Linked DNA regions of Mus musculus. The main gene of each other region encodes a partner of the protein of the gene in region 4 in a complex. Links are inferred from orthologs where the notes say so. Each region holds a gene or a part of one and is shown on either strand. Other genes may lie near its edges. The genes, in order: Ccnd3, Cdkn1a, Cdkn1b, Cdk4 and Ccnd1.

The links.
Region 1: the proteins of Cdk4 (region 4) and Ccnd3 are in contact, whole or in part, in a crystal structure (PDB 7SJ3), measured with the Homo sapiens proteins. The link is inferred for Mus musculus from reciprocal best matches to the Homo sapiens genes CDK4 and CCND3. Residues at the interface, in NP_000066.1 of Homo sapiens: Gly46, Gly47, Gly48, Leu49, Ile51, Thr53, Val54, Arg55, Val57, Ala58, Leu59, Arg61, Arg62, Glu64, Ala65, Phe66, Val77, Ala79, Val89, Asp129, His132, Ala133, Asn134, Cys135, Arg163, Ile164, Tyr165, Ser166, Tyr167, Gln168; in NP_001751.1 of Homo sapiens: His11, Pro13, Arg14, Ala15, Gly16, Pro17, Asp18, Arg20, Leu21, Arg26, Val27, Ser30, Leu31, Arg33, Leu34, Arg37, Tyr38, Glu74, Lys112, Leu113, Arg114, Glu115, Thr116, Pro118, Ile121, Glu122, Pro134, Arg138, Glu141, Val142.
Region 2: the proteins of Cdk4 (region 4) and Cdkn1a are in contact, whole or in part, in a crystal structure (PDB 6P8H), measured with the Homo sapiens proteins. The link is inferred for Mus musculus from reciprocal best matches to the Homo sapiens genes CDK4 and CDKN1A. Residues at the interface, in NP_000066.1 of Homo sapiens: Gly18, Thr19, Val20, Tyr21, Lys22, Ala23, Asp25, Val32, Leu34, Ser36, Met75, Asp76, Cys78, Ala79, Thr80, Lys88, Thr90, Val92; in NP_000380.1 of Homo sapiens: Met38, Cys41, Ile42, Ala45, Arg48, Trp49, Phe51, Phe53, Val54, Glu56, Asp62, Phe63, Ala64, Trp65, Glu66, Arg67.
Region 3: the proteins of Cdk4 (region 4) and Cdkn1b are in contact, whole or in part, in a crystal structure (PDB 6P8F), measured with the Homo sapiens proteins. The link is inferred for Mus musculus from reciprocal best matches to the Homo sapiens genes CDK4 and CDKN1B. Residues at the interface, in NP_000066.1 of Homo sapiens: Gly18, Thr19, Val20, Tyr21, Lys22, Ala23, Arg24, Asp25, Pro26, His27, Ser28, His30, Val32, Leu34, Ser36, Met75, Asp76, Cys78, Ala79, Thr80, Ser81, Lys88, Thr90, Val92; in NP_004055.1 of Homo sapiens: Glu53, Ser56, Lys59, Trp60, Phe62, Phe64, Gln65, His67, Lys68, Pro69, Lys73, Tyr74, Glu75, Trp76, Gln77, Glu78, Val79.
Region 5: the proteins of Cdk4 (region 4) and Ccnd1 are in contact, whole or in part, in a crystal structure (PDB 2W96), measured with the Homo sapiens proteins. The link is inferred for Mus musculus from reciprocal best matches to the Homo sapiens genes CDK4 and CCND1. Residues at the interface, in NP_000066.1 of Homo sapiens: Gly45, Gly48, Leu49, Ile51, Thr53, Val54, Arg55, Val57, Ala58, Leu59, Arg61, Arg62, Ala65, Phe66, Asp76, Val77, Cys78, Ala79, Arg82, Ile87, Val89, Asp129, His132, Ala133, Asn134, Cys135, Ser285, Phe287, Arg288; in NP_444284.1 of Homo sapiens: Leu6, Cys7, Cys8, Glu9, Val10, Thr12, Ile13, Ala30, Lys33, Ala34, Thr37, Phe108, Lys112, Met113, Glu115, Pro118, Leu119, Thr120, Ala121, Leu138, Gln139, Glu141, Leu142, Val145, Asn146, Lys149, Trp150, Asn151, Leu152, Ala153.

What each region holds. Positions count from the first base shown.
Region 1 is NC_000083.6:47,596,462-47,600,191, reverse strand, and holds the end of Ccnd3 (G1/S-specific cyclin-D3), read right to left. Parts: intron 2,773-3,730; coding exon 2,613-2,772; intron 2,190-2,612; coding exon 2,053-2,189; intron 1,584-2,052; coding exon 1,416-1,583; 3' UTR 503-1,415; downstream 1-502. UniProt on the Homo sapiens protein: Regulatory component of the cyclin D3-CDK4 (DC) complex that phosphorylates and inhibits members of the retinoblastoma (RB) protein family including RB1 and regulates the cell-cycle during G(1)/S transition.
Region 2 is NC_000083.6:29,092,565-29,096,570, forward strand, and holds the start of Cdkn1a (cyclin-dependent kinase inhibitor 1), read left to right. Parts: upstream 1-1,204; 5' UTR 1,205-1,297; intron 1,298-4,006. UniProt on the Homo sapiens protein: Plays an important role in controlling cell cycle progression and DNA damage-induced G2 arrest. Involved in p53/TP53 mediated inhibition of cellular proliferation in response to DNA damage.
Region 3 is NC_000072.6:134,919,121-134,923,206, reverse strand, and holds the start of Cdkn1b (cyclin-dependent kinase inhibitor 1B), read right to left. Parts: upstream 2,807-4,086; 5' UTR 2,288-2,806; coding exon 1,813-2,287; intron 1,252-1,812; coding exon 1,133-1,251; 3' UTR 1,124-1,132; intron 1-1,123. UniProt on the Homo sapiens protein: Important regulator of cell cycle progression. Inhibits the kinase activity of CDK2 bound to cyclin A, but has little inhibitory activity on CDK2 bound to SPDYA. Involved in G1 arrest. Potent inhibitor of cyclin E- and cyclin A-CDK2 complexes.
Region 4 is NC_000076.6:127,062,295-127,066,338, reverse strand, and holds the start of Cdk4 (cyclin-dependent kinase 4), read right to left. Parts: upstream 2,805-4,044; 5' UTR 2,580-2,804; intron 2,120-2,579; 5' UTR 2,104-2,119; coding exon 1,886-2,103; intron 1,755-1,885; coding exon 1,619-1,754; intron 1,505-1,618; coding exon 1,337-1,504; intron 1,185-1,336; coding exon 1,075-1,184; intron 387-1,074; coding exon 336-386; intron 239-335; coding exon 103-238; intron 1-102.
Region 5 is NC_000073.6:144,937,028-144,941,202, forward strand, and holds the start of Ccnd1 (G1/S-specific cyclin-D1), read right to left. Parts: upstream 2,805-4,175; 5' UTR 2,667-2,804; coding exon 2,469-2,666; intron 1,076-2,468; coding exon 860-1,075; intron 427-859; coding exon 267-426; intron 1-266. UniProt on the Homo sapiens protein: Regulatory component of the cyclin D1-CDK4 (DC) complex that phosphorylates and inhibits members of the retinoblastoma (RB) protein family including RB1 and regulates the cell-cycle during G(1)/S transition.

The DNA.
Region 1 (3,730 bases), on a different chromosome or scaffold from region 4:
AGCACCACTGAGGAAGGGCCTGCCTCCCTGCTAGGGGAAGTGCTTCCAGCCACACCCTAACCCCATTCATCCGGTTTTGTTTTTTTAATACATTCTGAGCTTTGTGCCTCAGCATCAGATCCCTGAGACTGGAGTTTAAAATGGTTAACTGCTGGGAATTGAGTCCAGGCTCTCAGGAGTAGCCAGTGCTGTCGCTGAGCCAAAGTTCTGCACTATGTAGCACAGGCTAGCCCTCTTCCTCTGTCTGCCCTGAGTGTGCTAAGGAAGCACCATGCCTGATGTCGTATGAATCTTAGGGTTCTGTGTAAGGGTCCAGCCCTGTCTCCCGATGAGCCCTCTGGGTAATGCTGGCTGCTCCTTAGCGCTGTAATTCGTCCACAAGGAAAGCAGGCCATGCTGCCTAGGCGGCACCTTTCTAACCCTTCCCAGGAAAAGTGCTCTGCCTAAGACAGCTGCCTGGTGCCCCCCAGCTCCCACAACCCCAGGGATCACAAGAGCCACCTTTATTCCGAAATCTTTATTAAGGCAGCATGATAGAAATGGGCCACCAGCCCAAACCTTGTGGCCCGAGGAAAGACCTGTGACCCTAGGGCTTGCCCTCTCTCCAGATAGCTCTGTCACCTCCACGGCATCGATCCATCCCAACCTAACCCTGCTCTGATGAAGATGAGGTGGAGGGGTGAGGAGAGGAAGGCGTGACCCCCATCCCAGGCTGTAGCAGCTCCTGGGCCACAAAGCAGTAGCAGAGGGGAAGAAGGGAGGGAAAGAGCAACCGCCAGGGTTACCACCACTTGTGGGGTACAGGCCTCACTGTACCCTCTTACAGTTGTATTCAAAGCAATAAATTAAAATGACCACGGCACCCTTAAGACCCCACAATCACAGAAGCTAAGCAGCAAGCAAAGCAACAGTGTATGGGTTCTTGCTCTGGCCAAAGCCTAGGCTGTTCCCTCTAAGAGCAGCTGGAGTACGGATTACACAGAGGCCATCTAGGGCAGCTCCTCATAAGCTTCTATCGGGATGCCCGAAGGAGCCTGCAAGGGCCAACACCTTTGGAAGGTACTGGGGCGTTTTGGCAACTGAGAAGGTTGGAGCCCCGGACAGAAGAGGGACTCAAAAGAAATGCTGGTGTGTGGATTTTACCTGTTTGTATTTCTCTGACCATCATGGCCCAGGACAGCCAAGCTGGTTGAGTGGGAAGGAAGAGGAGCTGACTGGCCATGAAGACGCCCCTCATGACCATGCAACCCCTTAGTGCACACTGTGGGGATAGGCAGGACCTGGCCCCTTGGGCTTTGTGAGGGGGAAGGAGAGCCCCCCTCGGGCTTCAGATATAGCATGGATTGTTCTAGAGGCAGGGAGGGGGTGGCAGGGGCCCCTCCTCTGCTTGGTGGCCTGAGAGGGCCTGTCTCAAGCTACAGGTGAATGGCTGTGACATCTGTGGGAGTGCTGGTCTGACTGGGCCCCTGGCTGCTAGAGCCCCGGGGGGCTTTGGGCACTGGGCTGGGGGCTGTCTGAGCAGCTTCCCTGAGGCTCTCCCTGAGGGCAGCTTCGATCTGTTCCTGGCAGGCTCGCAGGCAGTCCTAGAAAAAAAAAAAAAAACAAGGTCATTCATCCTTGGGCCTCTCTCTCTCCCTCACAGCACTGACAGCAAGCAGGTGGAAAGGCCACCCCCTGTGCACTGGGAAGTCTGGGGAGGTTAGGCCACAGCCCAGCCCAGGAATCAGGTCTTTAGTTCTCAGAAACTGGCAAGAGGATGTGGCAAGGGTGTGAGAGCAACCCTCCATCTGACACCAAGTCCCCCACCCCTGTCCGAGACACAGCACTTGTCAAGAGATGTCAAGAGAAGGGTATCTACATGCCAAGTGTCCTTCACCCCACCCACTCCTCTCCAGACTGGAGCCAGAGATAAAAGGCCAGAGAAGCAGGCAAGGGCGTACAATCATAGTTGGGGGCCCGGGTGGATGGTGCCCTCTGCTGGAGATTCAGAGGAACAGCTTTTTTTTTTTTTTTTTTTAATTTTGTGAAGGGGGGCGAGGGGCTGAGACTTACCACTTCAGTGCCTGTGATCCCGGCCAGCAACTCTGTGAGCTCATCCGCAGACATAGAGCAGGCGCCTAGGCCTAGCACGGCTGCCCCAATGCTGCCTGTGGCGATCATGGATGGAGGATACATCGCAAAGGTGTAATCTGGGAAAAGAAAGGGAGCCATCTTACAACACACCAGGCTGCATCCTGGGAACCCCCAGTGGTGAATGGGGTGACACTGAGCCAAGGGGACAAGGTAGATCCTAGGGAGGAGGGGGTTTGGTTGGTGTGTGCTCACAGTGTTGGCAATCTGACTGAGGAATGCACCCTATCACTGACCCACCAGACCACAGCCCGACCTCCTCTGAGATATGAGCAAACAACAAACTTTCCATCTACCCAAGGTGTACCTGGCACCAGGAACAACAAAATATCCAAAACCCTGCTATGAAGACCTTAGGCAAGTAACTTTTATTCAGTATTCCCAGATCACTGTACACAGGTCTGAGTACTGAAACCATCTCCTGGCTGTTACTACGTATCCTTCCCAAAAAACCCCACAATTTCCCCCAGGTTGGCTCTTACCTGTAGCACAGAGGGCCAAAAAGGTCTGGGCATGCTTTTTGACCAAAGCCTGCCGGTCACTGGGCAGAGACAGGCGGTGCAGAATCAAGGCCAGGAAGTCGTGCGCAATCACGGCAGCCAGGTCCCACTTGAGCTTCCCCAGGACCAGCACCTCCCACTCCTGGGGGTTAGGGAAGGAACATGGAGTCAGCAGTCGGCCGAGGGGGCCGAGAATTTGACAGAAGGGTCACAGTTCTGCCTCTGGCTTCAGGGGCTGCTGCCGCGGGATGACGGGTTTGGGGCAGGGAAGAACTAGGGCCGTACACTTAAGCATCTATTGATGGTTACTAGGTGCTAGAACGACCTGAATTAATCCCTCTTAATCCTCCCATGAGTCTGAGGCGGGCGTGAGTTGAAACAGACCAACTCTAAATTCCACAGGCTTCGGAAATCTCTTCTTCCCCAACATCGCATCCAGGTCTCTTAAACAAAATGAGCATGAAGCCACTCCTAAGGTTCCTCAAAGAGGAGGTTGCCCAACCCAACCCACACCCCCCTTTGTGGGACATCACGGGTGGGTCCTGTCTCCAGACAAGGGCATCCAAGCCAAACAGGATGAATCCAGATGACCCCTGAGAAACCTGTCCAAGCCTACATAACCATTCAGAGGTCTTAGGAGGAGGCTAGGAGCCCCAACCTCAGTCTACTCATATGAAGTTCCTAGCCCTGGCCCGAGCTGCACTTCCGAGTTGCACACAGGAGGATTTCTTCATTGTTTTATCTCAGGAAGGAACTCATGGGTTTGACTCCTCACTGAGGTAGAAATGTCAGCCCCACCCAGTATCTTCCAGGACCCCCCCAGTGACAGCTGTCCCTCTTCTTTGTCCCATGACCTAGGTGTCAGCCCCAGGCTTCTTACAGAACCCCACAGAAACAGCCTGGACTAGAGCCAGAAGTAAGGCAAGGAAGCTTGAAGCTTGCACCCTGGGCTCTATCCTAATAACCAAATAGCATCCAGCCTCTAAAGGGGCACCCCAATGGCAACCAGGAGTGTGGGAGTCCTCACTAGGTGGGCACGCTCCCCTGTATCCAGATGACATGAAAAACCCCAGCCCTACCCCAAGATCAGAGGAGCTGGC
Region 2 (4,006 bases), on a different chromosome or scaffold from region 4:
GTAGATGTTTCTAGAATTGTCCTTTATCAATGTCATTTTAGTGGACTGTCTGGATCTTGGGAGGGGGAGTATTAGACATTTCCCTCATTTTGGACCCAGAGAAAGAAATCTGCAAGCAGAGTACTCTGGGCAGCTTGCCAGAGGTCAGCAGGTAGCCATTAGTGTGGTCCCAGTCAGGTCTTGATGCTCTCACTTGCAGGATGTATTATGGTGTGAGAAATGTTCACATGCTGGCTTCTGAAGAGGGGAGAGGGGAGGTAAGGAGCCTGGCGGCTGTTTTTCTTGGTAGTCCGTGGTCTGAGAACTGGACTCAATCTCCCCGATTTCTGAGGCGGTTGACAGCATCCTTTCCTTCTGTGGAACTGCTTTCCTCGTCTGTGAGACAGGGAGGAAATGATCGCGTTCTGGACCCGATGTCCGAGGGGCTTCTGGGAGGAGGGGGAAAAAAATCTCCAGACATAGTGGGACTTCTTGGGATTTTAAACTATTTTTTATTATTTATGGGCTTGTTTTGTTTTTGAGAGGGTCTCAATGGATAGCCCAGGCTGGTCTTGAACCTGTAACGCCCCTCGTGCCTCAATCTCCCAAGTATAGGATTCCAGGCTTTTGCTATCATACTCAAATGATCAATTTATTTATATTTGAAACAGTGTCACATATTTCAAGTTGGTCTCCATCGGAATAGGTAGCTGTCAAAACGACCTTGAATGCCTATTTCCCCCTCCTCACCCCCCACTGGGCGCTGTTATTACAGACGTGACCCCGCATGCCCAGTTTATGGGGCCCTGGAGCTCCAACCCAGGGCTTCACTTCCAGCAAGTTAGGCAAACACTGTACCAACAGACCCACCTCCCGAAACCCAGGATTTTATTTACTAATATCAGTGATCTGGAAAAGAGTTAGTCCTTCCCACAGTTGGTCAGGGACAGACCCATAAACACTCACTCAGCTCTAACTGTACTGTTGTTCATAGATGTATGTGGCTCTGCTGGTGCGCTGCGTGACAAGAGAATAGCCCAGGTGTGGGGGAGGGGAGGGCGCGCCCTCTTAACGCGCGCCGGTTCTAGCTGTCTGGCGCGGGCTTAGATTCCCAGAGGGGAGGGCGGGCCAGCGAGTCCCCGGGATCGGTGAAGGAGTGGGTTGGTCCTGCCTCTGAGGGGGCGGGGCCTGGGCCGACGCTATAAGGAGGCAGCTCGACGCCAACTGCAGCAGCCGAGAGGTGTGAGCCGCCGCGGTGTCAGAGTCTAGGGGAATTGGAGTCAGGCGCAGATCCACAGCGATATCCAGACATTCAGAGGTGAGAGCTTCGTGGCAGGGAACAATAGTTCTTCCCCGTAGCAATGCGCTGAGCCCAGTGGGTGTCCCCAGAAGTGTGTGTGTGTGTGTGTGTGTGTGTGTGTGGTGATGAGTGGATCACCTGTGTGTGTATATGTGTATTTGTGCGTGCCCGCCAGAGTCACAGGTGTGTCCGCGGCAGGTGGATGACGGGTGTGGGTCTGAGCGTCCGTGGTGGCTGAAGGCTTCGTTTGTTGGAGTGTGACGAGGGTCAGGCTATGTCGCGGACTCGGCATACAGAGTCTGAACTCCAGGACCACGGATGGCAGCCACTCTTCCAGTCCTTGGAGACCGGGTCCGAGCGATGGCTGGCGGGGATCGGCTACCGGGAGCTCGCTTCTGGTTGCCAATGTTTCTAGGGATTCCAGGTGCGGCTCGCCCAAAGCGTGAGAATGAAGCTCACGGTGCCCCGAGATGGGTCCTGGGTGGCGGTTGTGACAAGCTTCGGCGAGTCTATCTAGAGCTTAGCGCAGAGCGGTTCTCCGATCCCATGGGTGCCGCCGGATCCCCGGTCCTTGTGAACCAAGTGCCCTGTTTCGCGGTAGCCACCACCCCACTGGGCTCTGAGGTCAGCGCGAGCTGTGTCCTCCGCCCTCGGGATCGTGCCTGGGCACGTCCTAGAGGACAGGCGAGGAGGTGACTCATTGTGACAAGGAGACCCCGGGCACTGGATTGAGACCAGAATCGCGCCACAACTGGGGATGGGTCAGTGGCAGCCCAGAAGCCCCTTTCCCTGCCCGGGTACAGCCTCGTTCCTGCCCCGTCCCCTCCCCCGCGCGGCACAGTGACCTATTTGGCGGGCACAGTATGTTCCCAGGGAACCCGGGACACGGGGAGGTCCAGGACGCGGTGTCCGGTCCCCGCTCGGCGGCGCGCCCTCGGGGACAGGGAGTCTGGGCGGGTCCTGTCCACCCTGCCAGCCCGGGAAGCGCAAAGGGTCCCACCCACCGCGCCCACCACGACCCGGACCAGTGACCGTGGGGCGCGAGAGGAGCCCGCACTGTAGAGCGGCCGGTATCCTCGCGGAGTGAGGCTTACGGGTGCCGTACATCAGACGCCCCGGGGCTGGGGCCCTCGACCCAGTCCACACCCAGTGTAGGAAGGTGACCAGGCTGAGTGCGCCCACTAGGGCACATCCATTCCACTCGGAACCTCCGGGGACAAGGGCTACACTTGCACCCTGGTCGTGCGGGAAATACTTTGGGCTTGGGTTTGGCATTTGGGGGCGCGCTGGCAGCTTCCTCTGTCCCCTACGTCGCGTTTCAGAGAGGACACTCAGGCGGTTTTTTGTTGTCCTCGCCCTCATCTATTTTTATTTTCCAGGGATCTGACTCATCGCGTGCTTTGGGCGTGGAGATCAAGGTGGAGGGGGCCAGAGCTAAGAGCACTTTCTTTGCTCTCGAGTGTCCGTGCGTGCGTGTGTGCGTGCGTGCGTATGTGTGTGTGTGTGTGTGTCTGTGTACGTGCGTGTGTGTGTGTGTGTGTATGCGTGCGCGCGCGCGCGCTCAGTCTGGTTTCCCAACATAGGCGGGAATTTAGGAAGCCTGGGCTCATCGTGACGTGTTTTGTGGCCCGGGGTCCCCCTCCTTTCCTCTCCTCTCTCCACCCCAGGGTGACGCGCAGCTCCGGTGCCCAAGCAGTTTTGGCGGGCGGGCAGCGCCGGGCAGGAAACTGACTCACCACTCCTTGCTCGGCCTACGCGCCGCCTACCGAGCGCCATTTCCTGAGTGCACAGCGCCCCCTACCGGCATCAGTGAGGACTGCAAGGCCGGCTAGGCGCGGGTGGCACCACGGGCTTCTGCCACCCCCACCGCGGCTTAAAGGGAATTAAAATATGCCTGATGGCCAGATACAAGTGATTTTAGCAGGGTGTGCTAGCGGACTATTAGGGAGGCGTGGCCCTTGAGAGACAAGGTGGAGATCGTGCCCCTCTTGGGTTCCTGGTCTTATCTTCAGCTATGAAAAACTGGGGACTATCCAGCCTTAGCCGAGTCCATTGGTGTCTTCCCTTCCTTCCTCTGGCCCCTGTGAGCTACCGTCTGGGGAAGGGCACCAAACTTGTTTTTCGGCTCAGTTTGTCTGGGGAAATGAGCCAATCTATATTTCTATATCTATATAGATCTCTCTCTCTGTCTCTGTGTGTGTGTGAAAGAGAGACAGAGACAGAGAGACAAGCTTACAAAATGGCCCCAGCTACCAGTACTATATAGACAGGCTGGCCCAGTGGCCTGGAACTCATAAGGATCACGTGCCTCTGGTGGAGTGCTGGGATTAAAGACTCTCCCCATAACATGGAGCTCAGTCTATATTTAATAAAAAAGCTTTTCCAGCTGATTTTAATGGAGTCCTCTGGTCATGCCCCTCAAGGTGAGAAGACGAGAGAATGATCAATACTAGACCAAAAGGGTCTGAATTCAAACCCCGCTTGTGAGCCCTGTGCCTTTGGACACACATTCTGAACCTGGATTAGCTCTGCCGTAAAAGAATGTGATATTGCCATCTATTAACGATAGCTTTTGGTGGCTTACAACTGCAATCCCAGCACACTAGAGGCAGAGGCAGGAGGATGACTGAGTTGTACTAAAGGATGTGAATAGGCCCCAAGCTCTACCTGTAGGCAGAGGCCATCTGAGGTCCTTTAGGCCTCTGAGGTCTGCACCTTGAGAATCCT
Region 3 (4,086 bases), on a different chromosome or scaffold from region 4:
TGCTGGTTTTCTTCATAAGGAGCTTATAAACTATTATAAGTAGTTAGAGCATATGAATAGTCAATCTATGTAAATTTAGGGGCTGGGTTACTCTAATTAGGCAAGTGGGGTGATGAGATTTTTGACACATGGAAAAATCCACACTTGTGTTGGACCTTCTCAGTTGGTCCTAACATCTACTATCCATTTCCCCTATAAACATCCAAACCGTCCTGTTCCAGCAAATTAGCATACGGTGCTGACGTGTGGGAAGGCTGCTTCCTCTAGCTGTTCATTTAACTTCTGCTTTGTAACCTCAGGGTTAAAATCAATTCTGTGGGAGCATTAGTACTTCTGAACTTTCCAGTCTAATTTTTTTTTTAAGTATGAAGTTCCTTTCTCTCCAAAATTTACCAGCATACAAGGCACAACTTTAAAAAAAAATAAAAAAGTACCCAGAGGTGATGGCACACAACCTCTAATCTCAGCACTCAGGAGGCAGAGACAATACAGATCTCTGTGAGTTCGAAGCCAGCGTGGTCTACAGAGCAATTCCCAGAATAGCCCGAGCTGTTTGTTACACAGAGAAACCCTATCTCAAAAAACCAAAAACCAAAACAAAAGCAAAAGATAAAAAGAACTCGAGCCACGGCAGCTCTATTCACACTCCTAATCAAACGTGCACTATGGGTACCTAGTTTTTCTCTTAAGAACATACATGTAAGTATATATTTGCCATTTTTCTACAGTTCAAATGGTTCAAAATAGGCTATTGGCTCAAAACGAACCTCTGGGAAATGGGTTCTCATGAACTGAGACTGGAAAGGAAAACTGTCATTCCCAGCCTAAGTTTTAGTGGGATTCATAAGGATACGACCGTCCCTATCCTTTGGGGCCTTGGTGGCAAGTTCTTGCTTGGGAACCTCATTCTGATTCCACTTTAAGGTAAATATCTTGGGGTGCAAATACTGCATTATAGTCCCCTCAAGTGATTCCAGCCTTCCCCAGTGTTAATTTTTTTGATCAAGGAAAGTAATTCCTCCTGGCAGGCAACTAATCTGCCAGCAGTCCTGGGGTCTGCAGGCCCCCCGGGGAGCGCAGCCCAGATGGGGTGTCAGTTTTGTGTTCTTCCTCATTAACCCACCGGAGCTGTTTACGTCTGGCGTCGAAGGCCGGGCTTCTTGGGCGTCTGCTCCACAGTGCCAGCGTTCGGGGAACCGTCTGAAACATTTTCTTCTGTTCTGTTGGCCCTTTTGTTTTGCGAAGAAGAATCTAAGAGGGGGGCAAGGGGAAATTTTTAAGAGAACACACACAAACCATCTTTATTATCGACAACAATGGCTGACAGAAGTAGGCCCAAGGGATGAACAACCCACTCACTACCTCCACCCACGACCCCTGGACCCGTCATCCCCGGTAGCATCTAAGGACACAAAATAAGGTTGTTCCCACTAACACAAGGAGTATTCTACACCCCACGTCTCTTCCCCACCCCCATCCCCACCCCCACCCCCCCACCCCAGCCAAGGAGGAGGCAGTTGGTAAACATCCGAACTTTTGTCACGTATCTACAGCTGGCTAGAGGGGAGGAACTGTGATGCGTTCGGCTACGGAAGTTATCACATCTTACTATCTCCGGCTTCTGACTTCAAAATCATAAACAGGGCAAGCAGTCGGATAGGGGGTATGTCAAACCTAAGCTTCAAACAAGTTCGATTTCCCAGAGCTAAAGCAGAACACGCTGGAGAAAGCAAGTGAACAGGGTCTAGTAAAGGGGCGCTTACGGAGACAGACAGACAGACAGACATTTTAAGTTTTCCAAAGAGTCACTACCTTCTGCAGCAGGTCGCTTCCTCATCCCTGGACACTGCTCCGCTAACCCAGCCGGATTGTCTGACGAGTCAGGCATTTGGTCCACCAAATGCCGGTCCTCAGAGTTTGCCTGAGACCCAATTAAAGGCACCGCCTGGCGGCTCCCGCTGACATCCTGGCTCTCCTGCGCCAGCACCTTGCAGGCGCTCTTGGGGGGGCGCGGGGGCCTGTAGTAGAACTCGGGCAAGCTGCCCCTCTCCACCTCCTGCCACTCGTATCTGCCCTCCAGGGGCTTATGATTCTGAAAGTCGAAATTCCACTTGCGCTGACTCGCTTCTTCCATATCCCGGCAGTGCTTCTCCAAGTCCCGGGTTAGTTCTTCATGATTGACCGGGCCGAAGAGATTTCTGCAGGCGGAAGGCTTGGGGTGCTCCGCTTGTCTGGCGTCCATCCGCTCCAGGCTCGGGCTCCCGTTAGACACTCTCACGTTTGACATCTTCCTCCTCGGGCGGGTGTGGACCACCGCCTCGCCTCTCTCCGGAAAAAAAAAAATGAAATAAACAACAAAACCGAACAAAAGCGAAACGCCACGGATGGAGCGCAAAACCCTCTTCGAAGTTCTGCGACTGCACACAGACAGTCAAATGGAGCAGAGCCAGGCGAGCGACCGCCCGAGCCGCAGTAGCGCGCAGGTCTGGGGAAGAGAGGCGCAGGGACACCCCAGCCGCCGCGCAGCTCGAGGCTTCAGTGATCAAGTGTACTGGAGGGCGGGGAAGGGAGGGGAGGAGGCAGGAGGAGGTGGCAAACAGTCGGAGCGTAGGCTGGGGCGAGCCCGTGTGTCCCGCGAACGCAGCCCCTCTCCAAACCTTGCCGCCGCGCGAGTCTCGGAGCCGCGAGTGAGTCGGGACAAGGGATGAGGGGGGAAAACACCCCAAAAGCACGAGCCCCCCTCCTTTTTTAGTTGCCCAATATGGCGGTGGAAGGGAGGCTGACGAAGAAGAAGATGATTGACACTGCAAGTCTATTTAAACAGAGGAGGAGCTCCATTGGTCTCGGCGCCGGGAGCCGCTCCGCCCAGGCTGGCGAGCGCGCTCTTAAGGTGGCCCCGGGCGCGGCGCCGCCGCCTCTCCGCGCTCCCGAGCGCGCCGCCTCCCCGTAGCGCCGCCAGGACATTGGCTGGTCGCGTGACTACTCGGAGGTGTACGACTGCCAACAAACCTGCTCTGGCTGGCCCCGGAGAAATTAAAAATAAGACAAACAAACTAGCCAAACGGCCGGAGAGCTGGGGAGGGGCCAGCGCGGCGGCCAGGCAGGGACCCGGGGATCTAGGTCCCGGCGCTGCAGAGCTGCGCTGGCAGGCGCGTCACCGCTCCCGACTGCGACCTCCAGGTCTTTGCCCGCGAAACCTAGGGCCTGGACCAGTGGGCTCCTAGGTCGCTGGCGGCTTATTAGGAGCTTCGGTGGCTAGTTCAGCCCACCTGCATTCGCCGAGGTGGGAATGGAGGAGGGTATGCGAGAGATTCAGGAAACCTTGGCTCAGGGCCTGGGGCAGCCCACCCACCCCCACCCGGCAGGGTGCCTTAGCTGGGGTGCGGAATCGGCCGCTTAGCCTGACCCCAGAAGTCTCTGCTATGTAGGACAGGCCAGGAGGTGGTTTCAAAAAGAAGCCAGGACTGACCGCTCTTATCAGGGTGTTTCTGAATCCAAGCGCTTCCACCGTAGGATCTCGAGATTGAAAACCCCCAGTGCTCTCCCAAGCCTCTCTTTAGAGCCGTCCCAGACAGAAATCAGAAAAAGCCAGTTCTGATTTTCTTGGTTCCTAAGCACAGTGAAAGCCATTGCTATAGCGTGTGGGAACTCGCCTTTATACCCTTATGTTCTTTCCCGGGCGAAGCCGTTCCCTCCACCTGAGTCCAGACGCCAACTACAACAGTGCCTTCCTTCTCTTTTTTCTCCCACCAGCCTGTTGCTTCCAACCTACTCAGTACAATATTCAAATACAAGCAAATACTTTTAGAGAGCTGCAGGTTGTTAAAGGGCGAAAACACTTTCCTAAGGATCTAAGACTAGATTTGCAAGTGATTTATAATACCACCACCACGGTATTACCAACATCTAGTAATGTTGGGTGGGTTTTTTTCAGCTCCTTGGGCAACTTCACATTTCTCTATCACTGCTGAGCACAGTGACAGAAGTTAAAACAGAATAGCCAGGCCTGTCGTATCTCAGAGTTCAGTGAGATTTTAAGGGCTTTGCCCACTAGTATTCCCAAACAGTCTTGGTTTGCGCTAAACA
Region 4 (4,044 bases):
ACTCAGGTCCTCACACTTATGCAAAGGAACTCTACCCACTGAGCCAGTTCCCCAGGCCACGGTATTTCTTATCTTAACCCAATCCCCGCCCAGGTCCAGTACCAGTAGCAGCTGCGCTCCAGACTCCTCCATCTCTGGCACCACTGACTGCACTGGCCGAGGCCCTCTGGGGGCAAAGGCTCCTCGAGGTAGAGATACCTCTCGAGGCCAGTCGTCTTCTGGAGGCAATCCAATGAGACTGTGGGGACAGGACAACTCTGTTAGGAGGGGCCTTTCCCAGCTCCTGTCTCCGCGGCAGCAGGAAATGTCTTTCCTTTTCCTTATCAAATACTTACTCAAAGATTTTCCCCAACTGGTCGGCTTCAGAGTTTCCACAGAAGAGAGGCCTAAGGCAGAAAAAGACTCAAAGTATGTGTTATATCAAAAATAGGGGAGTGGGGGCTGGAGAGACGGCTCAGCAGATAAGACTGCTCTTCCGGAGGTCCTGAGTTCAATTCCCAGCAACCACACGGTGGTTCACAACCATCTGTAATGTAATCTGAAGTCCTTTTCTGGTGTGTCTGAAGACAGTGAGTGTACTCACATACATGGAAATAAATACATTTTTAAAAGAAAAAAAAAATTGAGGAGTAACCGTTATGTAGACCCAACTAGAGAGTGTGGAGACGAGGAACGGGAAGATCCTAAATCCAGGGCATGCCTATATGGTTTCTTGGTTCTAGGCAAGGTGGTCAGTATGAACTGGGTAGGCTGGATGTCCCGTACCATACATGCACAAAAGCGAATGGTCAAGAACAGGCATGTCTGTAAAAGACTTGGGGGCCGACGGAGTGTGAAGTTCAGTGGCACGGAAGCATTTACTGAGTGTGTGTGAGTTCTGATTTCAACCTCTAGCACAGTAAGACAAGCAGCCAAAGCTATGTGCAACTGAAGGTAGGTTAAGAGCTTCAAGTCCCATACGGGCGGTGGTAACGCATGCCTTTAATCCCAGGGCTCTGTGAGTTCAAGGCCAACCTGATCTACGGCCAGGACTAACCCTGTACCATTAACAACAAAAAGTTTCTAGTCCCATACTTCCGACGGAACATCTCTGCAAAGATACAGCCAACGCTCCACATGTCCACGGGTGTTGCGTATGTAGACTGCAGAAGAACTTCAGGAGCTCGGTACCAGAGCGTAACCACCTGAAGAGAATAGTAGAAATGAGTGAGTGTCGACCTCACGAACCAGACCTGCCTGGCTCTGAAAACTTCATGTACAAGACTCCTCAGTTGCTATGGGAAACCACCAAGAGCTACCCCTATCACAACCTAGTCGGCTAACGCCTTTTACTGACCACAGGCGTGAGGGCCATCTGGTAGCTGTAGATTCTAGCTAGGCCAAAGTCAGCCAGCTTGACGGTCCCATTACTTGTCACTAGAATGTTCTCTGGCTTCAGGTCCCGGTGAACAATGCAGTTTGCATGAAGAAAATCCAGGCCGCTTAGAAACTGACGCATTAGATCCTGTTTTTCAAGAAGAAAGCACAGAACACCGGAAACTATGTATCACTTCAAAATCCCAACAACTTCTATTGCAAAGATCGGTCCACCCTCGCCCCCAGCCCCACCCCTACTCACCTTAATGGTCTCAACCGGCAGGCCCGGTGGAGGTGCTTTGTCCAGGTATGTCCTCAGGTCCTGGTCTATATGCTCAAACACTAGGGTGACCTTGATGTCCCGATCAGTTCGGGAAGTAGCACAGACATCCATCAGCCTGAGAAGAACAAATGATCACCAGCTAGTCGTCCCCTTTGTCTCAACGTGGCCTCTGGCGTTCTAGGGTCCCACTCCTGCCTTACGGGTCCTATTGTCCTCTCCGCCCCACTCCCAATCCAACCTTCTCACCGTACAACATTGGGATGTTCAAAGGCCTCCAGCCTCCTTAACAAGGCCACCTCACGAACTGTGCTGACGGGAAGGCCCCCTCCAGCTGCTCCTCCATTAGGAACTCTCACACTCTTGAGGGCCACAAAGTGGCCACTGTGGGGATCTCGGGCTTTGTACACCGTCCCATAGGCACCGACACCAATTTCAGCCACGGGTTCATATCGAGTGGCAGCCATTCTCGAAGCAGGGGATCTACAATCACAGAGGCTTCTAATACCAAACTCACTCTCACGGTTAGGAGGGGGATGACCCGGCGGTAACAAAGGAACTCCTGCACAAGACCTCGCCAACGCGATCAGCAACATCCCACCCCTCCACACTTCCAGGGCCCGCGCCTTAGGTAACACAAAGACTCCCATCAAACCCTCCTCCTCCGGCCACGTTTTGTCCCGGAGGAAGAAAAAGAATGCTTTCTTTCCTTTCGGAGGACATCGCACTAGGCACAAAGAGGATCACACAGTGCACAGGGTTTGCACCGAAGATTCTGCACTTCACTCTCCAAAATCACACCCTTGCCCGCGACCACAAAGGCCCCACTTCCCGCCATTGGGCCACCTTCCATAATCAGCCAGCGACGCGCACGCGTGGGGAGCTGGAGGGTGCTGGTGGTGGCGGGGACTGGTCCCCCGATCCTGGATGAGACTGCACTCACCTTACGCTCGGCTAAGAGCTCTGGAGGTGGCCCTTTATCTGGGCCCGGGAGCCGGTTCCTGCGGCGCCATACACCGGGGATCGGTCCCGGGCAGCTGGACGCTTCGGGCCAGACCATAGACACAGGCCGCGAGCTAGAGAGGCCCCCTCACCCCCACCCTCACCATGTGACCAGCTGCCAGAGAGGCGCGCGGAAACCCGGGGGGCGGGGCGGGCGCCGGACGTTCTGGACACGTGATCTTCACCCTTGCGCAGTGGGCAACCCGGGCTGCTTTGATGGGAGGGGTGTGGTGGGGAAGGGGGCGGGGCCCTGACGGCCACGTGACCTGTTGCTATCCCACGTGACCCCTTGACTTTGCGCTGGGAAGCAGAGGTGTGGTTACGCTGTGTGGCACGTGACTGGCTGCCATACCCTGACTGCCGAGGGGGTGTGTGGGGGCGAGAGAGGGTGGAGCACAAGGCGGTGTCATGGCAACCGGGCCAACCAGCTCTCAACTCTGGGCTCAAGGCCGAGCCAGAGCGCATCTTCAGTCTCACTATGGGTCTCTGAGTGGGCGGGAGGTCGAGGTGTTAGTGGGAGATCCTGGTGCCAGAAATGGTGCTGTAACATTTCCACTCCACCGCCATGGGGAAACATTCGTATTTGTGTCTTTCTTTTACTCATTCATTCAACACAATTTTACTAAGTGCTTCCTTCCAGTTGGTATGCGATGTTTTTGTTTTGGTGTCTCAGTCACTCGCCCTTTGAAGTGATGATAAAGATAACTAGTATAGGTAATTGTGGTCTTATAAAACAGGGAATAAATAATTTCTATCTGAGGAGGAAACTAGGATTAAAAGATGGACAGAAGGAAATATAATAAGCCACTGTATGGGTATGGGGGGGCAGCAATTTAATGCCCTCCCTCTTCCCAACCTGTAAACCTCCCCAGGAATATTAAAAGCAGCAAGAAGTGATTGAAAATAGGGGTTCTTGATTTTACAAGAGTCTTTACACTAAGATTGCTACATATATATGTGATTGCATAAACAGATGACAGGGTAAGCATGTCCAGGGTCAGTCACCACCACATTGCTGGAAGATGACGTGTCCTTTTGCAAACCTGCAACTCCTCGTTGGGGTCATGTTCCTATTTTTTCCCCAGTCCAGCTTAGAACATATTCTTGATCTGATCAGCGTTTCCTAAATGGTCTGCCTACAGAAATCTAGTTAGACAGAGGTAGATCTGTGTGACGATTTCGTCTGCTCCAACTCCTTTATTGTCTCCCACCTCTTAGGGATATGGGATGAAGGACCATGTTCCCATTTGTGAAAAATTGCCTAAAATCTAGAGCTATTTTAAATTGATTTGGGGTGGGGGTGCTGGGGATTGGAGTTAGTGTTTTTTTGTTTGTTTGTTTGGTTGGTTTTTTGGATTTTCGAGACAGGGTTTCTCTGTGTAGCCCTGGCTGTCCTGGAACTCACT
Region 5 (4,175 bases), on a different chromosome or scaffold from region 4:
CTAGGAAAAGAGGCAAAAACCTCTTCAGAAAGCATGCTGTGGCCGTACCACTTCCTGGCAGTGGAAAGGTTGGCACAGGGAAGCTGTGTCATTCTGTTAGGTCTCCAAGATACTAGCCAAGAGAATGTGCCACCCAGTATCATCTATCTCTCCAACAAACTATCTGCACCCTGGGCTCAGAATAGATAGCAAGGAAAGAGGCCTTAACCCCAGGGGGAGTGGCAAGGAGCCCGCTCTTCCTGGGAAGAATGGGGGTGGAGCCTTACCTGTGGCACAGAGGGCCACAAAGGTCTGTGCATGCTTGCGGATGGTCTGCTTGTTCTCATCCGCCTCTGGCATTTTGGAGAGGAAGTGTTCGATGAAATCGTGGGGAGTCATGGCGGCCAGGTTCCACTTGAGCTTGTTCACCAGAAGCAGTTCCATTTGCTGCAGAGAATGAGGAACACGGTCAAAAGGAAGGCAGGCTGATTCGAGAAGGTCTAAAGAGTTGGGTCAACCCGGGACCCCATACAGGTAAACAACAAAATGTGCCTGTAGAAATACTAAGGGGACAGACTGCGGACAAAAAGAATCTCCCACCGCCAGCGCCGTGGCCTGCACGTCGCTAGGGGGCGCACACCGCCCACATTTCAGAGTGGTTTCACCACAGACATGGTGGGGAGTCCAGTACGGAAAGAGGGCGGGCACAGAGGTAGAATGGGTTGGCATTCTGCTCACTGCCATTTCGGTGTCGTGCGGTGCGGTGCGGGTGCCTTTCGTGGGGCAGGAGATCTGTCCATGGATGGCTGGATCTCCTGCCATTTGCAGCTCCCACCACCCAGCATAAAGAGGGATTGTCGGTGGTGGGTTACGTGGTTACCAGCAGCTCCTCGGGCCGGATAGAGTTGTCAGTGTAGATGCACAACTTCTCGGCAGTCAAGGGAATGGTCTCCTTCATCTTAGAGGCCACGAACATGCAGGTGGCCCCCAGCAGCTGCAGGCGGCTCTTCTTCAAGGGCTCCAGGGACAGGAAGCGGTCCAGGTAGTTCATGGCCAGCGGGAAGACCTCCTCTTCGCACTTCTGCTCCTCACAGACCTGCGGGGATCCGGACCCTGACCGTCAACGTGGGAGGGGGGCGTCGCTCGATACGACCCCATTCCCTTCTCCTAGATTGCACAGAGAGGGATTCCGGTGGCCAACTCCCTGGGATGCGCTCCTGCTCCGAGGGTTCCCAGTGCCCACCCACCCTGAAACTGAAAGGGAAAGTCTTTGGGCAGCTGGCGGGGCCGGTCGAAGCAATGGTGGCCACGGAGACCCCGGTCCCCTGTTGAAATTAGGAAGCCACAAGCCAGAGAACCCCACCGCGGGGCTGGCGGGGCGCCGGGGGCTGGGCGCCGCTCGAGCGCACGCGAGACACAATGGTGGCGTCCCAGGCCGCCGCGCTGCATTTCCCAGACGTCATCTTTTCAAAAAATATTTAAAAATATTTAAAAAATAACTAGGTGCCTAAAAACGACCTGAAAATAACCATCGGACGACCCTTGATCCAAGCCGAGGGTCAGGAGCTCAGTGGACATCGGGGGGTGAGCTCCAGCAACTCAAACTCCGGGGGCCCCCCTTTTGCAGGGTGCGGGCGCTGTTTGCCTCTACAAGGGCATTATGCCTCACTTTAAAAATTATTTTAAAATATTTTGGGACCCCTGAGTCTCCTGCTGAACATCTGAAAATGTGCTTTTGTCCCCCTCCGCCCCCAGTTTGACCTAGACAGGTTCCTCCAAATCCAGAACCGCACGCACAACAGTCAGTCTCATTGACTAGGGGGCCACGCGACCTTGCAGCCTGGCGTTTTCTCTGGGCCAGGCAGCGTGTGCGGGGTACCCAGGTCCGCTGTTTGAACAAAGAATCCCCCACCCCAAATATTCCTCACACTGTCTTATTTAGTGATTCCCGGCCGCCACGAGGCCCCTCGTGCCTGTCCCAGCGCCCCTACTGCCGCTCCCTGCCCTGCCCCCAATTATTAATAAACACTTTTTGCTTTGCAATAAAGGAGCAAAGATGGCGCATAATATTGGCACGAGCGGCCCTTGCATACGTGTCCATGGATATTAATTTAAAAATCAAATTTATGCCCCCTCCCCCCTTGAGCTGGCGAAACGCGCAGGGGCGGCCCCCGCCGAGGCGCTGCAGGAATGGGGCACAAGCGGGGGCCACAGAAGCTCAGCCTGCACCCTCTGTGGTGTCGCTGACACCGTCCTCCCTCGAAGGCACCCCTCCCCGACTGCCCTCCACCAGGAAAAGGAATTCCCATCTTCCCAACTCCCAAACCTTCCTCGTTCAAAAGGACCCAATCTATTTATTTTGTGAATACCGAGTCCTAGCAACGCACCCGGAAAACTCCGTGACGGAAGGGAAGAGAAGGGAGGAAGATGTTGGTGATAGCAACAAGTTGCCAGGGGGTCCCAAGCTAGCAGCCTGTAAAGTCTCTTACCTCCAGCATCCAGGTGGCCACGATTTTCCGCATGGATGGCACAATCTCCTTCTGCACGCACTTGAAGTAAGATACGGAGGGCGCACAGGTCTCCTCCGTCTTGAGCATGGCTCGCAGCACCCGGTCGTTGAGGAGATTGGTGTCAGGGTACGCGCGGCGGATGGTCTCCACTTCGCAGCACAGGAGCTGGTGTTCCATGGCGCGGCCGTCTGGGGAGGGCTGTGGTCTCGGTTGGGCTCCGGTGGCGGCTGCTGACGCGCGCTGCCTCGCGCTGTACTGCCGGTCTCCGGAGCGCGCGGAGTCTGTAGCTCTCTGCTACTGCGCCGACAGCCCTCTGGAGGCTGCAGGACTTTGCAACTTCAACAAAACTCCCCTGTAGTCCGTGTGACGTTACTGTTGTTAAGCAGAGATCAAAGCCGGGCAGAGAAAAGGGGGAGGGGGAGGGCCGAGGCGGGTGCAGGGGGAGGGGGCTCGGGAGCAGTGAGGGGGGGGGGCGGCGGGGGGGGGGCAAGCCCAAACCCTTCCCCCTCAGCCTTCGTAGATATGCAAATCGCTCGGACTGCTTCTCTCCAAACTGGGAAAGAGCGGGGCAAGGGGGAGGGGGGCTTCTTTCCCTAAGAGGGTCCTCCGAGACCTGTGGAGGTGGGGTAGTGGCGGCTCTGGACAGGAGGACAGCTAGGAGGGAGGCCAGGCCACACGCAAGCCAAGGAAGAATGTATGGAAGGGGAGCCTGGGGGTGCAAGGACACCCTGTTCTTAAACCGGGAGAATGGGTGCGTTTCCGAGTACGCCACGAGGCACCCACAGGCGGACCCATTGCTTAGAAATCCCAGCGTCCCTGTCTTCTTTCAATTTCATCAACACGTGTAAAATTCAGGAACTGTGTAACACCCGAAGATGCCAGACGAGCCCTAAGCTCTCGTGCAGGCTCCATCCTGGCGCACTGGGGTGGTTGCAAAGGGCCAGAGGGGTATCTGAACTTTAAAGGATCCCCAGCCTAGCATGCGCTCGCTCAAAAATAAAATAAAACCCCGAAAATTCCAGCAACAGCTCAAGATGGTGGCCATTATTTCATCTATTCCTCCTCGCTGGGGGGGTGGGGTGGGATCTGAGATTTGTCTTCATACAGTGACCGGTTTATCCTGGCCAGGGTCCCCCAGTATCCCCCTCCTCCACTGCAGGCGGTTTGCCCAAGAAAAATAAACCGTTGAAGAAAAGGTTGAGACACGATAGGCTCCTTCCTAATTTATTTTTTAATTAAGAAAAGTAAATCGCTGCAAGTTATTAGTCGCCCTTCCAGGAACCAGACCACCGGAAGCTTCTTGATTGGCTTCGTTGAGGGTGGTGGTGTTTCTCCACCTTTAGAATTGCAGTCTTGAGTTGGGGGAGGGGGGGGGCGGCTGGTGAGAATCAAGATAAACTTGTGAGCCGATAAGGTGATATTTAAAGAGAATCTATAGATGGTCGTGGTTAACTGAATGGACTCCTAAGTTTATAATTTATAGATTCAAATAAAATATTTTTAGAATAAAGCGGTTCCACCACCTTCGTCCATTATTTAGTTCCCTAGTTTTGGAAACGTTTTCACAATACCCGACTTCAAGCTAGGCGAACTATTCACACACATTTCCCACGGAATACTTTCGTGTCCCAGAAGAAACTGGTAAAGGAGCGCACAGCGTCCAGGCGGCACACAAGACGCAAACCC